3 linked regions of the Alligator mississippiensis genome follow. The protein of the gene in region 1 purifies or fractionates together with the protein of each later gene. This does not show direct contact. Links are inferred from orthologs where the notes say so. Each region holds a gene or a part of one and is shown on either strand. Other genes may lie near its edges. The genes, in order: MTMR2, MTMR10 and SBF1.

Evidence for each region.
Region 2: the proteins of MTMR2 (region 1) and MTMR10 purify together in Homo sapiens (affinity purification with mass spectrometry; 5 studies listed by BioGRID and IntAct, with this or other methods). This does not show direct contact. The link is inferred for Alligator mississippiensis from reciprocal best matches to the Homo sapiens genes MTMR2 and MTMR10.
Region 3: the proteins of MTMR2 (region 1) and SBF1 purify together in Homo sapiens (affinity purification with mass spectrometry; 6 studies listed by BioGRID and IntAct, with this or other methods). This does not show direct contact. The link is inferred for Alligator mississippiensis from reciprocal best matches to the Homo sapiens genes MTMR2 and SBF1.

Annotation. Positions count from the first base shown.
Region 1 is NC_081824.1:446,672,359-446,676,100, reverse strand, and holds the start of MTMR2 (myotubularin-related protein 2), read right to left. Parts: upstream 2,656-3,742; 5' UTR 2,568-2,655; coding exon 2,482-2,567; intron 1-2,481. UniProt on the Homo sapiens protein: Lipid phosphatase that specifically dephosphorylates the D-3 position of phosphatidylinositol 3-phosphate and phosphatidylinositol 3,5-bisphosphate, generating phosphatidylinositol and phosphatidylinositol 5-phosphate.
Region 2 is NC_081834.1:35,308,458-35,312,199, reverse strand, and holds the start of MTMR10 (myotubularin-related protein 10), read right to left. Parts: upstream 2,739-3,742; 5' UTR 2,284-2,738; coding exon 2,230-2,283; intron 1,131-2,229; coding exon 1,070-1,130; intron 1-1,069.
Region 3 is NC_081827.1:1,961,826-1,965,567, forward strand, and holds the start of SBF1 (myotubularin-related protein 5), read left to right. Parts: upstream 1-1,559; 5' UTR 1,560-1,617; coding exon 1,618-1,672; intron 1,673-3,742. UniProt on the Homo sapiens protein: Acts as an adapter for the phosphatase MTMR2 to regulate MTMR2 catalytic activity and subcellular location. Promotes the exchange of GDP to GTP, converting inactive GDP-bound Rab proteins into their active GTP-bound form.

The sequences.
Region 1 (3,742 bases):
AGTCCCAGACAGAATCAGGGCCCTCAAGCCCCTCAGAGTGCATCTGTTCTCCCCACTTATGCAGATGTGCCCCCATGATCTCCTGGGCACATCTCAGTAAGCAAGGAAAGTCAGGGTTTGAGGGACCTGATCCTGAGCTGGAATTCCTGGGACATGCAGGTCTCAAAGAACATGTCACCTGTTGCCCCACAGCATCAACACACAAGGACAACAGGAAACATACATTTCACCCAATAAAGCAGATCAGGTGTGCAAGAACACAGTCCAGCACAGTTGATCCACTTCATTTGAAAACACCTATAGGTGAGATTACACATTACAATTAAGACTATACCAAGAGCACTTAAAACTTGAATGATCACATATTAAGGCTCATTAACAAATGCATCTTAATATTATGCCACTTTGGATGAGAATTATCTTTGAGCTGTGCTACCCATCTTGAGTTAACTTCTGAGTGTTCACCTAAGATTAAGCCATTTTCAGTCCTCCAGTATCCCAGGAGGCACTGCATGATGACTGACAGCTGGGAATAGCCTGGTAACAGGTGGGTGGGGAAGGGGTGAAGGGAGGGAAAATGGATGGAGGTAGGGGAGTCAGGGGACAGGGGTGGTACTGCAGGAGGGAAGATGGAGTGGGTAGGGAAAATGGGGGAGGGGGAGAGGAGCTACCGATCTGCTGCTCCCCCTACCCCAAATTGCCCTCCCCACCCCTAGATCGCTCTCCTGCCACAACTGCTCTGCCCCTCACCAGTTCCTCCACCCCCCCAGATCACTGTCCTGCTGCCCCAATCAGCCTGAGTAGCAGAGGTGCCAGTGGGGGGTACCCCCTCCCTGCCTGCTCCTGGGGTCCCTGCAGACCACACTGGCCCTGCTCACTTAGATCCAGCCCCCACCAGGCAGTGCAACTGAAGGAGAGGCAGGGGGAGAAGGCAAGGAATTGCCAAGCATTTGTGCAGCCCAGCGGGGATGGATCGGGGTGCATGGGGTGGCACAGGCTTTGGAAACCCAGTAGCAGGAAGGGAAGGCAAACCCCTCCCCACTGTGACAGCCACCACTGCTCTCTAGCTGATTAGGGTGGCCGTTCAGTGATTTGAGGGTGAAGAGGCAATCCAGGCGTAAAGAGGCTGATCACAGGGTAGAGAAGGAACCTGGGGCAGCAAGGGGTAGAAGGAGCAAGTGAAACAGTGGGGGTGGGGGGGTTTTACCCATGGGCAACTGGTGCCTCCTGGGTCGGGGGGGGGACCAGATCACCAACGGGGGGGTGGTCCCCAGCAGCTGATCGCCAAGCCCAGAACCACCAGCAGTGAAACCAGAAATGCACTTCTGCCGGCACTTCCAGTTTCTCAGCTGGTGCTTCCACAGGGTGCACGGCCAATCTCCGGGGGTGCACGTGCACCTGCATGCACCCCTATGCATCACCAATGGCCTTACCCCCTCCTCCCTTGCCTATACTGTGACTAGAGAATGAGCAAGCAGGACAGGCATGCCGCCCCTCGCCCAGCCTTGCTCATCAGCCCTCTAGTGGCAGGTTTGACTGTGCCTATTAAGAGGGTATTAACCCCAAATATGTGACTGATCACTAGCACTAGTTAACCTTGACACAGACTAACATTCCTTAGCTTTGCCCAGAAGAACTTTTACAATCTTTCTCCAATGCCTGATGAAGGGTGTTTGTGCCGGAAAGCTTACAATTAAATAATTTTTTTTTGCAGACGAAAAATCTTACCATCTCCACTACGAGTCCTGATCGCCTTTTCCTCTAGACCCATACGGCTACAAGCTGGCTACCCAACATGTCACCTCGCCCCAATTCTCCCCCGTGAAACCCTCTGGCAAAGCGTCCCTTTCCCCACTAGCGCTGGTCTACATCACTCCAGTAGGCGCCTGTCCTCTCTCTGCAGGTCGCTGTGGCGGATCTAAAAGGTCCCAAGCCAGCTAACGCTTTGCGCGGGCATCGGGAAGATGCCAGGGGATGGGATTTCTGCGTCGTCAGTACACCTGCTTTAAACGCCAAGGGAAGTGCACGCACGATCCCTGCTAAAAGAGCACTGCCAAGGTGGCGACCTTGAGCAGGGAGAAGTTAACCAACGCTGGAAAGCCGGAGGTCAGACACCATCCTCGCCATATCACCTCGCCGAAACAATGCGTGTGCCAGCCAGGGTTTCACTGGCAGTGAGTGCAACTCGTCTCCAATGGCGGTCTGCCACAGCCACATAAAGCCACATGGTTGGTGCCACCTTCCACGCATTGGCCAAACCAGGCACGAAACGTGGAGCAGCTACCAAAATCCCTCATCAATCCGAGGTCCTCTCCTTTGTGCCAAGCAGGTCGAGAAGGTGAAGGCAAGGCAGAGGCTGCACCTGGGCCCTTCACTTTGGGTTCCCGCCCGCGCCAGGGAAGTGCCAGCCACCCACCCACCCCCGACCCTGCCCCGGGCCCGCGGCTCCTCCGCCTCCCGCTCGCGGCCCGCGGCTCCTACCTGGACAGCGAGTCGGCGCTGGGCCGCCGCGCCGCCGCCGCCGCCGCCGGGGGGCCGAGGCTCTCGCAGCTGGAGCTCTTCTCCATGCCGGGAGGCTTGGGCAGGCGGGCCGGCAGGGAGGGAGGCGGCTCAGGCAGGGGGCAGCGGGCAGGAGGCGGCCATGTCCGTCCGCCCACAGTGCAGCGCGGTCGGCCGGCGCCAGGGCGGGAGGGAGGCAGGGAAGCAGCCGGGATGCGGCCGGGCGGGATGCGCGGGGCGGTGCCAGACCCGCCCGCCTGCCCCGCATCCCACCGCACCGCACCGCACACCCACACCCCAGGGCCAGGGGTGCGCGCACACACATAAACCCACACCCCAGGGGTGCACACACACACTCCTTGGGGCCAGGGGAGACCACACACACACAAACTCACACCCCAAGGGCGCACCCCCACGCACACACAAACCCATACCCCAGGGGTGCACACACACCACCCCAAACATACACCACATTGGGGGCCAGGGGCACACCCCCCCCCAACACACACCCCCATACCCCAGGGGTGTGCACACACCACCCCAAGCATGCACCACATTGGGGGCCAGGGGCACACACACACCCATCCCACACACACACACACACACACAAACCCACACCCTAGGGCCAGGGGTCACCCCCCCACACACACACACAGAAACCTACACCCCAGCAGTGCACAGACACCCCCCCCCAGGGGTGGGAGTACACACACACACACACACACACACACACACACACACACACAGCAGGGCCAGGGCACACACCCCCACATACATATACACACCCCAGGTGCACACACACACACCACACCCCAGGGCCAGGGGTGCACACACATACCCCACATACACACACAAACCCACACCCCAGGGTCACACACACAACACCCCCAACCCACCGACACAAAAACCTGCACCCTGGGGCCGGGCAGTGCGAGCCAAGGCTGACAGACCTGCCTGGGTGGGGCGCGAATGCAGCGCGGACATGAGCCCACATGGAGCCGTCGCCCCCCTCAGCCTCGTCCTCACAGCCGCTCCAAGGGGCCGGTACAGGGCACGTGGCCAGCGCCCACTGGCCCTCGAACTAGTCCGAGAGCCCCTGCACACGCCAGGCTGGGCAGGCCTGTTTGAGGTGCATTGGGAATGGGTCCGTGCCCACCAAGTACAGCTAAAAGCCACCTTAAGGTGGGGGTCTCTGAGTGCACATCGTGTGTGGGGTGCGGGGTAGTGTGTACAAGGTGTGCCA
Region 2 (3,742 bases), on another chromosome or scaffold:
TTACTTAGGTCTTTCTTCAGTGAAAACTTCCTTCAGCCAAAGCAAACAAGCAACATGTTCAACTATGGCAACCCTATTGTTCTAAGTAATTGTTTGTGATTCAAGGTACATCTGTAGTAACATAATGAAATTTTAGTTCCAGAACAAGGTCTTACAATCCACATGTCTATCACATAACCAAGAAGTTTTATTTCTTAATAGAAAGAGATAGGACAAGAGTCAAACTTCACAAATTCTGTTCTAAATTATGGATTTTAAAGAATTAACCCCACACTATTTCTTCTAACACATTTGAAATAATGTCCTGCATTCTTATTTCAAAATGCCTCATCAATTCCAAAAAAATGGGTGTTTAATAGAGTACTTCAAATCTTATAACTTAAAGGTGCACAAAATAGGTATTTGTAATCAATGCGTACACTGTACAACCATTTGTTTTAAACTAACCAAGGATAGCTACCTAGGGCACAAGGGCAAAGCTTCGTATGCTCATGTGAATCCAACTGCAGAACCAGGGTTGCAGTCCAGTGATCCAAAGTGACAGAAGCCTAAACCATGTCACCAAAGCTACCAGATTACAGGTACTCAAGTAAATATCAAACTACAATTTATCATGAATATGTAGAATGCATGCCTGCCTATGCCTAGTTTGGCAAGGATTGGAGCGTCCTTTCTCAAGTTTGACAGAGATGCAGGTGCAGGCCTGATGTCCAGAAGTTTGTCCAACTCCTCTCCTCACTATAAATTGGTTCAATAAAAGATGCCACAAAACAGTCTTGCCTCTCAGACATTTCCTGAACCATCACTGCTAGGACAACACCCCACCTACTATGTTCAGTTAGTTTTAAGAGCTAAAGAAAACTAGAAAAGCTTTCTTCCGACAGCACAAACTAGATCTTCTTCCTGAATTACAACTTTATTTCCTTTCATTTCTTTCATACTAAGGAATGGAATAAAATGTATTAATAGTAACAAAACAGATTACAACTTGCATCTCTGTTACTAACATGACTAGTATAAGTGGAAGCCTTAAAAATAACTTTATCTAGATATAGCTTCTATTTTTTACCTGGCAAAAGCACCGGTTCCAGCTTCTTAATCTTGGGTTCTGGAGTTATCTTCTCTTCAGCCTGAAACATGCACACAAAAAAGGAACAAATGGGACTTAAACTTATGCACATGTACAAACCAGGTCTTGGCAGAATCAGAGCCCTAGTGAGCCTTAAAGGCTCTGGTGCTGGAATAGGATCCAGGTGGATGGAGCCAGAAGCATGCACATACATCTTCTTTTACTGTCATGGGTGTAAGCCAGTGGGTCTCAACATAGTTAGAGACTCAAGGGCACCCCTAGGAAAATGCCAGCTCTCAGCTTTCCCTCATGTTTTGACTACAAAAAAAACAACAGAACAATTCTTCTGTTGCAAAGAACTCAGAAAGGCTACAAAAAGTCAGATGTTTTTTAACACTATAGACTCCTACTTAAAATCTCTGGCTTTATCTTGTGAATCACATGTGGGTGTTTGCAAACCTAGTGGCGCTAATATTGTCCGGCACCCGCAGAAGGATCTCACAGCACCCCAGGCGCAGCAGCCCCTTGCTGGCAATCGCTGGAGTAAGTTTACCCGTAGGGAGAAACTTGTGAAGCCAAAGCTTGATCTGTTTGGTTTAAAAGGTGCCGTAGCATTTTGTTTTTACTTCCAGAAATAAATTAAAGTACAGCACCACCCGCGATGCAGAAAACTTTTGCCAAAGAACCTAATGGTTTCCACTTCCAGAGAAGGGGCTCGGCCCAGAAATACAAACCCCGAGGAGCGCTTGTCACTATCATTTCTGTTTTACTGAGAAAACGCAGACACCAAACATAACCAGGTTTGGACCAAAGTCCTAGGGGCTCCTGGGTCGCTACCCCTTCAACTCCTCCGCCCGCCCACCCACCCAGTCTGGACTGCAAGTGTCCCACAAGTGGCACGGGGGCGCGCTCTCCCCCGGGCCCCGGAGCCAGGAGCCGAGGTGACAGGTGAAACGTCCACCTCCACGGGACAGGCACCGGCTCCTGAAAGTCACCCGGGGTTTAAACACGGGCACGGCCCCCGCCCGCAGCAGCCCAAACAGCGACACGCGGGGAAAGGAGCCGGAGCCGAAGCCAGGCCCGGGCCGCCGCCGCCTCGGGGCTCCGCGCAGGTGCCGCCGGGCCCGGGCAGGGCGGGGCGGGGCGGGGCGGGGTGTTACCTGCGGCAGAAGGTAGGACTTGAAGGTGGGCTTGGGGGGCTTGAGGGAGAACATCGCGGCCCGGCGCTGCCGCGGGACGGGCGCTGCGGACGCCGGCTCCGGAGCTGCGAGGCGGCGGCGGGCAGAGGAGCAACCCCGGCCGCGGCCCCCGCCCTCCCCGGGGAGGAGTCAGCTGCCCGGGCAGGCCCGGCCTGGGGCTGCCCCAACCCGCACGGAGCCCCGCGGCCCCTCCCCGGCCGGGAGGCCTCCCCCCAGCGGCGGCGCCGGGCCCTGGGCGGCCATGTTGGGGGGCCGGGCCGGGCCGTATGGTACGGTACGGCGGCGCGGAGGGGCCAAGCGGCGCGGGCGCTGCCCCGTCTCCTCCTCGCCGGCGCAGGGCCTTTGTGAGCGGTCAAGTCACACAGAGAAAGTGGCCGCGGCCGCTGCCCACTTGCCCCGGCCCGGAGCCGCCCTCGGGGCTGAAGAAGGGGCAGGGAGGCGGGAGAAGAGCCCGGCGGCAGCACCGAGGAGCCCGCGGCCGCCAGCCGAGTCCTCCCAGCCCCGGCGCGAGGGCCGGGCTGACAGGCCAGGCCAGGCCAGGCCGGGGCGAGTGGGCGGGCGGGACCCGCGCGGTGTGTCCTGGCCTCCCGCACCACCGACTGCCCCCCTTGCGGAGCGGCGCGGCCGGCAGGGCAGGGCACGGCGCCGCGGGCCCCGCAGAGAGACAAGGAAAGAAAGGGTTGAACGGCTTTCCAAATGAATGGCTTCCTCCACCTTCTCCAGCCAGCCGTGGCATGGGTTTGGCTTGGAAGAAGCCGGATGCCAACGTGTCTTCTGCCGTGGTTGGCACGACCTTGTACAAAAACCATGACTGAAATGGAAAAAGATCAGTCGTGATCCATAGCTGGAGGGTATAAAAGAGTAAGCGTGCATGAGCATGCACACACACACACACACACACGCACGTGTGAGGACAGATCTAAGATTTTGAAAGGGGGGGTGCAGATGGTGGCGTGCATCGTCACATCTAAAATAACACCTGTTTTTTTCCAGTTAAAAATAAACTAGATGCTTTCCTCATAGGCCAGGGGCCTCAAGCTGCACTTTCTGTTTACGATGTGAGCAAAAACCAATATAACTTCATTGGAATGAGTTAAAACCAGTCTGCAGGGCTGTGAAACGGGCTTGGTTACCAGGAGCAGGGGACAGACAGCAGAATGGCAGAACAAAGTGATGGAACATCAAGACCATTAAAAAGAAGAGGGTCATTAACACATGTAGAATAAAAAGTTTAGAAGGGATCGGGTAGGTTATGCAGGCAGTCCTCAGTTTACAGTGTTTTGACTTACGGCGCTCAGCCATTTACACCCATGTTATTACTTACGGCGCTGGATCCCTGCACTTACAGCACTACAGGGACATTTACCATGAGCAAAACACATCCCTGGATCAGTTTCTCAAAAAACCATCAAGTGGTCCTAGGTCTCCCCAAAATCTCCCCAAAGCAGCTCTTCTGAATTCCGTGACCCTGATA
Region 3 (3,742 bases), on another chromosome or scaffold:
CTAACCAGTGCTGCAGGAACCCACGCCCGCCCAGTCCACCGCCCCAGCCCAGCCCTGCCTGAGCTCCCGGGGCAGCCCACTGCAAGGGCGTCCGACTGCCGCCGTGGCCTGGACCTGGCATGGCCTGTATGGGGGATAAACCCTGGCAGAAGACGTCTCTGGGGCTGCGCCCGGTGATCAGACCCTCGCCTCGCTGATGCTACGCTCTCGGGAGCAGGAGCTGCGGCAGCTGCTGCCTGCTCCAAGCGCCCGGTGCCCTCCTCCTCCCGCTCTCCCAGCGGTCAGGAGCCCGGGCTGCACGGGGCATGGGGCCACACTATCACAGCTCTGGGGTCGCAGAGATCCTGTCCTGAGCACCGCTGGCTTCTGCTGGGCATAGCCGCTGTGCTGCCCTGCTGCGGGGGGGCACCAGGTAGCACCCCCCAGCAAGCTCCCCAGCATGGAGGCACAGGGGCCATCGACAGCAGTGGAAATCACAACGGGAGGCTGGAATAGCGACTGCCGTAGAGCTTGGAGGTGCTGCCCAGGGCGCAGCGAGACCTAGCCCCAAGGCCGCCTGCCCAAGACCGCTCCCAGGGCAACGAGACACCCAGCAGGCAGCCTAGAGATGCCCGCCCCCGCCCCTGCCCCTGCCCCCGGGGTACAGGGGGCTGCGGCCGCCAACGTCCTGCCGCTGCCAGCGAGCGAGCCCCAGCTGCAGCCTGTGCCGCGGGCCGCGTCCCTGCCTCGCCTGGGCCGGCCGCTCCCTCCTGCCGGGCAGCGATCGCAGGCCCGCAGGAAACGCGGGGAAAGGCCTGAGGTTTTGGAGGATGAAGCACAGCCCTTTCCTTTTCCCTTGAGGTTTCCGCGGCAGAGGATTCCCGTCCCCTTGCCCTGCCCTGCCCCGGCGCGGCTGCGCCGCGCCCCAGAGACAGCTGCATTTCCCTGGGGAAGCCGGGCCTCGCAGTGCTGGCCCCCGCCGCTCCCCTGGGGTCTCTCCCCCGCCCCCACCCCCGTTTATTTGGGGCCAGGGGGCTGAGGCCACATTGGGCCAGGGCTATACGGACCTGGGGCTATATGGGACCAGGTCTATATGTGACCGGGGCTGTATGAGTCTGGGGCCATATGGGACTAGGGCTACATGGGCCTGGGGTCATATTAGGCCAGGGTTATATGGGCTGGGGGCTACATGGGGTCTAGGTGCTATACGGGGCTGGGCCTATATGAACCGGGGGCTAGGGGTTATATGGGGCCAGGTCTATATGAGGGTGGGGCCACAGCGACAGGGGCTATAGGGGGCCCGGTCTATACGGGGCTGGGGCTCTACTGACCAGGGTTAGACGGGCCTGGGGCCATGGGGGCGGGGCCATACAGGTCCCGCCGTATAAGGCCCGTGCCCGGCTTGGCCCCGCCCACCCCGGCGTCCTCGCGGCCCCGCCCCCTCCCCGGCGGCAGCCAATGGCGCGGGCGCCGCCGAAGCCCCGCCCCCTTCCGCCGTGCGGCGCAGGCGCAGTGCCACAGCCGGGAGGTCGGGCGGAGGCAAGATGGCGGCGGGCGGCGGCCGCGGGCGGGCGGCGGAGCGGGGCGGCGGGGCCTGAGCGGGCCGCCTCCCCCCCCCCGGCCCGGCCCGGCCCGGCCATGGCCCGCCTCGCCGACTACTTCGTGCTGGTGGGCTACGAGATGGACAAGCGCGGTGAGTGCGGCCGGGGGGGGCGGTGAGGGCAGCGGTGAATGGTCCAGCCCCCCTCTTCCCCCCCCCCCCCGGTGCAGGCCCCGCCGCCGCTGCCTCAGCCGGGTTTGCACGCGCAGCGCGACGAGGCGGAGGGGCCTGCCACGCTTCCACGAGCACGCCCGGGAGTCGGGCTGGTGCGAGGGGCGTGCACGGGGCAGGGGCTTGCACGGACGAGGGAGCGAGTGAGCGGGGTTGGCAGCTGTCTGTGGGGGGTGTGCGCCGTGCTGCGCGCCGTGCAGCGGAGCAGGGGCCGGCCGCGCAGCCGGACCGCCGGCGTTACACGACCCGTGGGACTTCCTGTCGTGAGCGAGCGCCTCTCGACCGGCGGCTGGCACCGGCCGATCTGTCCGAGCAGCGTCGTGCCGGCTTATCCCGCTGGCCGGCACCCCTTACGCCTCGCCCGCTCGACGGGCACCTGCAGACTGTGACCGAGTCACCCCTGCCCTGCCCGTGCTGCTCGGGGGTGCGTGGAGCAGCTGCACGCGCGTGTGCAAGGCCCTCGGGCAGCCCCTGACGATGCTGGACCGTGAGCGGAGAGCGGCTGCTCCCCGTTAGAGGGGGTTCGGTGCCGCCTTCGTCCCTGTGGAGCTGGGGCCGCCCGCCGTGACCTGTCTGGGTCTCTTCTCTCGGGCCCCGAGGCCGCCACCCCCGCTGGAGCTGAGAGAAGAGGGCCCTTGTTTCGTGGGTTTCGGGCTGTGCACTAATGTCCCTGCAGCAGGAGGTAGAAGAAGTAGGTCAGTAAGTTCCTCAGGAGACAGAGGAGGAGGAGCGCGAGGGGCTGGCACCCGCTCAGGCTGAGCCTTGCTGTAGCTGGGTGTCTTCTGGCATGCAGAAGATGCCGGTTGTCCCTGACGAGCGGTCCAGGGCTTTCCCGAGCTGCGTGCGGGATACGCTGGGGCGCTAAGGGGCTGCAGCCCTGCTTTTTGTAGGCGGAAACCCCCGGGGGCCCAACCACTAACACTGATTTCCCAGGAGCCGGTGGGTGATTTTTGTGGTCCCTGCAGCAGCGCTGCCTGTTCCCCATCTCGCGCTTCCTGCTGTCGTGCTCCTGCGGCCGCGGAGGAGCTTGGGTGGTGTCTGAGTCTGGAGAATGCTTCTTGCGTCAGCCACAGTGACTCACCGTCTTACTGGTTGGGTTGGTCCTGACAGCCAGAACTGGCGTGCCCGGCCATGGAGGGCCTGGCCTGCTCTTTGCCAAGATGAAACGAAGCAGGTTTGTCCTGCAGCCCACTGTAGGTACACGCAGCCCTTCGGGGGTCTGACCTCCTGGCAGGCCGGGCCTCCGGCTTGCCGGGGTGGGCTAATGAAGTCAAGCTTCCCAAATCCTTCTGCAGCAAGGTTTGGCAGAGCCTGCACATGGCGCGCCGGTCCGACTCTGGCAGGGTGCTGTGCTTACTGCCAAGTGATCGGGGGCCGGGGCTCCTCGGGGCGGAGGATGGAGGGAGGCAGCAGTCTGGCGCCTCAAGCTAGTCTTTCTCCCTGACTTTGTACAGAGCCAAAAGTCAGAGAAACCTTTTTTGTGGTACTTGAGATAGGCAGGAAGTGGGATTTGACTGTGGGGGCTGTGCCGGGGGTGGACCTGTCATGCTTACAAGACTGTTTAGGTTGGTCTGTCTTTCCCTGGCAAGAAACATCTTCTGTGCCAGGAAGCCTGGCCTGGCCCTTTCAGGGAGGACCTGCCAGTGCAGAGTCATGCTGGCCTCTGAAAGCACCATTCCCTGCAGCCAGCCCTGCCCTCGCCCTTCGACAGGGGCTAAAGCAAACGCTGCCTCTAGCCGGGGGCTCTCTCACTGAGGGATCCTACCATGGCAGGGCTGGATGCCAGCGCACCTGGCGTGTTTGTAACTCTGGCCTGCAAGCAAAGGCTCAATGGCTTTTCCTCCAGCTCAGCACAGTCCCTAACGGTGCACCCTGCGCTGCAGCGTGCTCAGCCCCTCTGTCCAATTGGGGCATGCGTTACAGCTGGCCGAAGCCTTGCAAGCAGCCCAAGTCCCTCTGCATCGGCGCGGTGCCCGGCTGTGGATGTTTGTG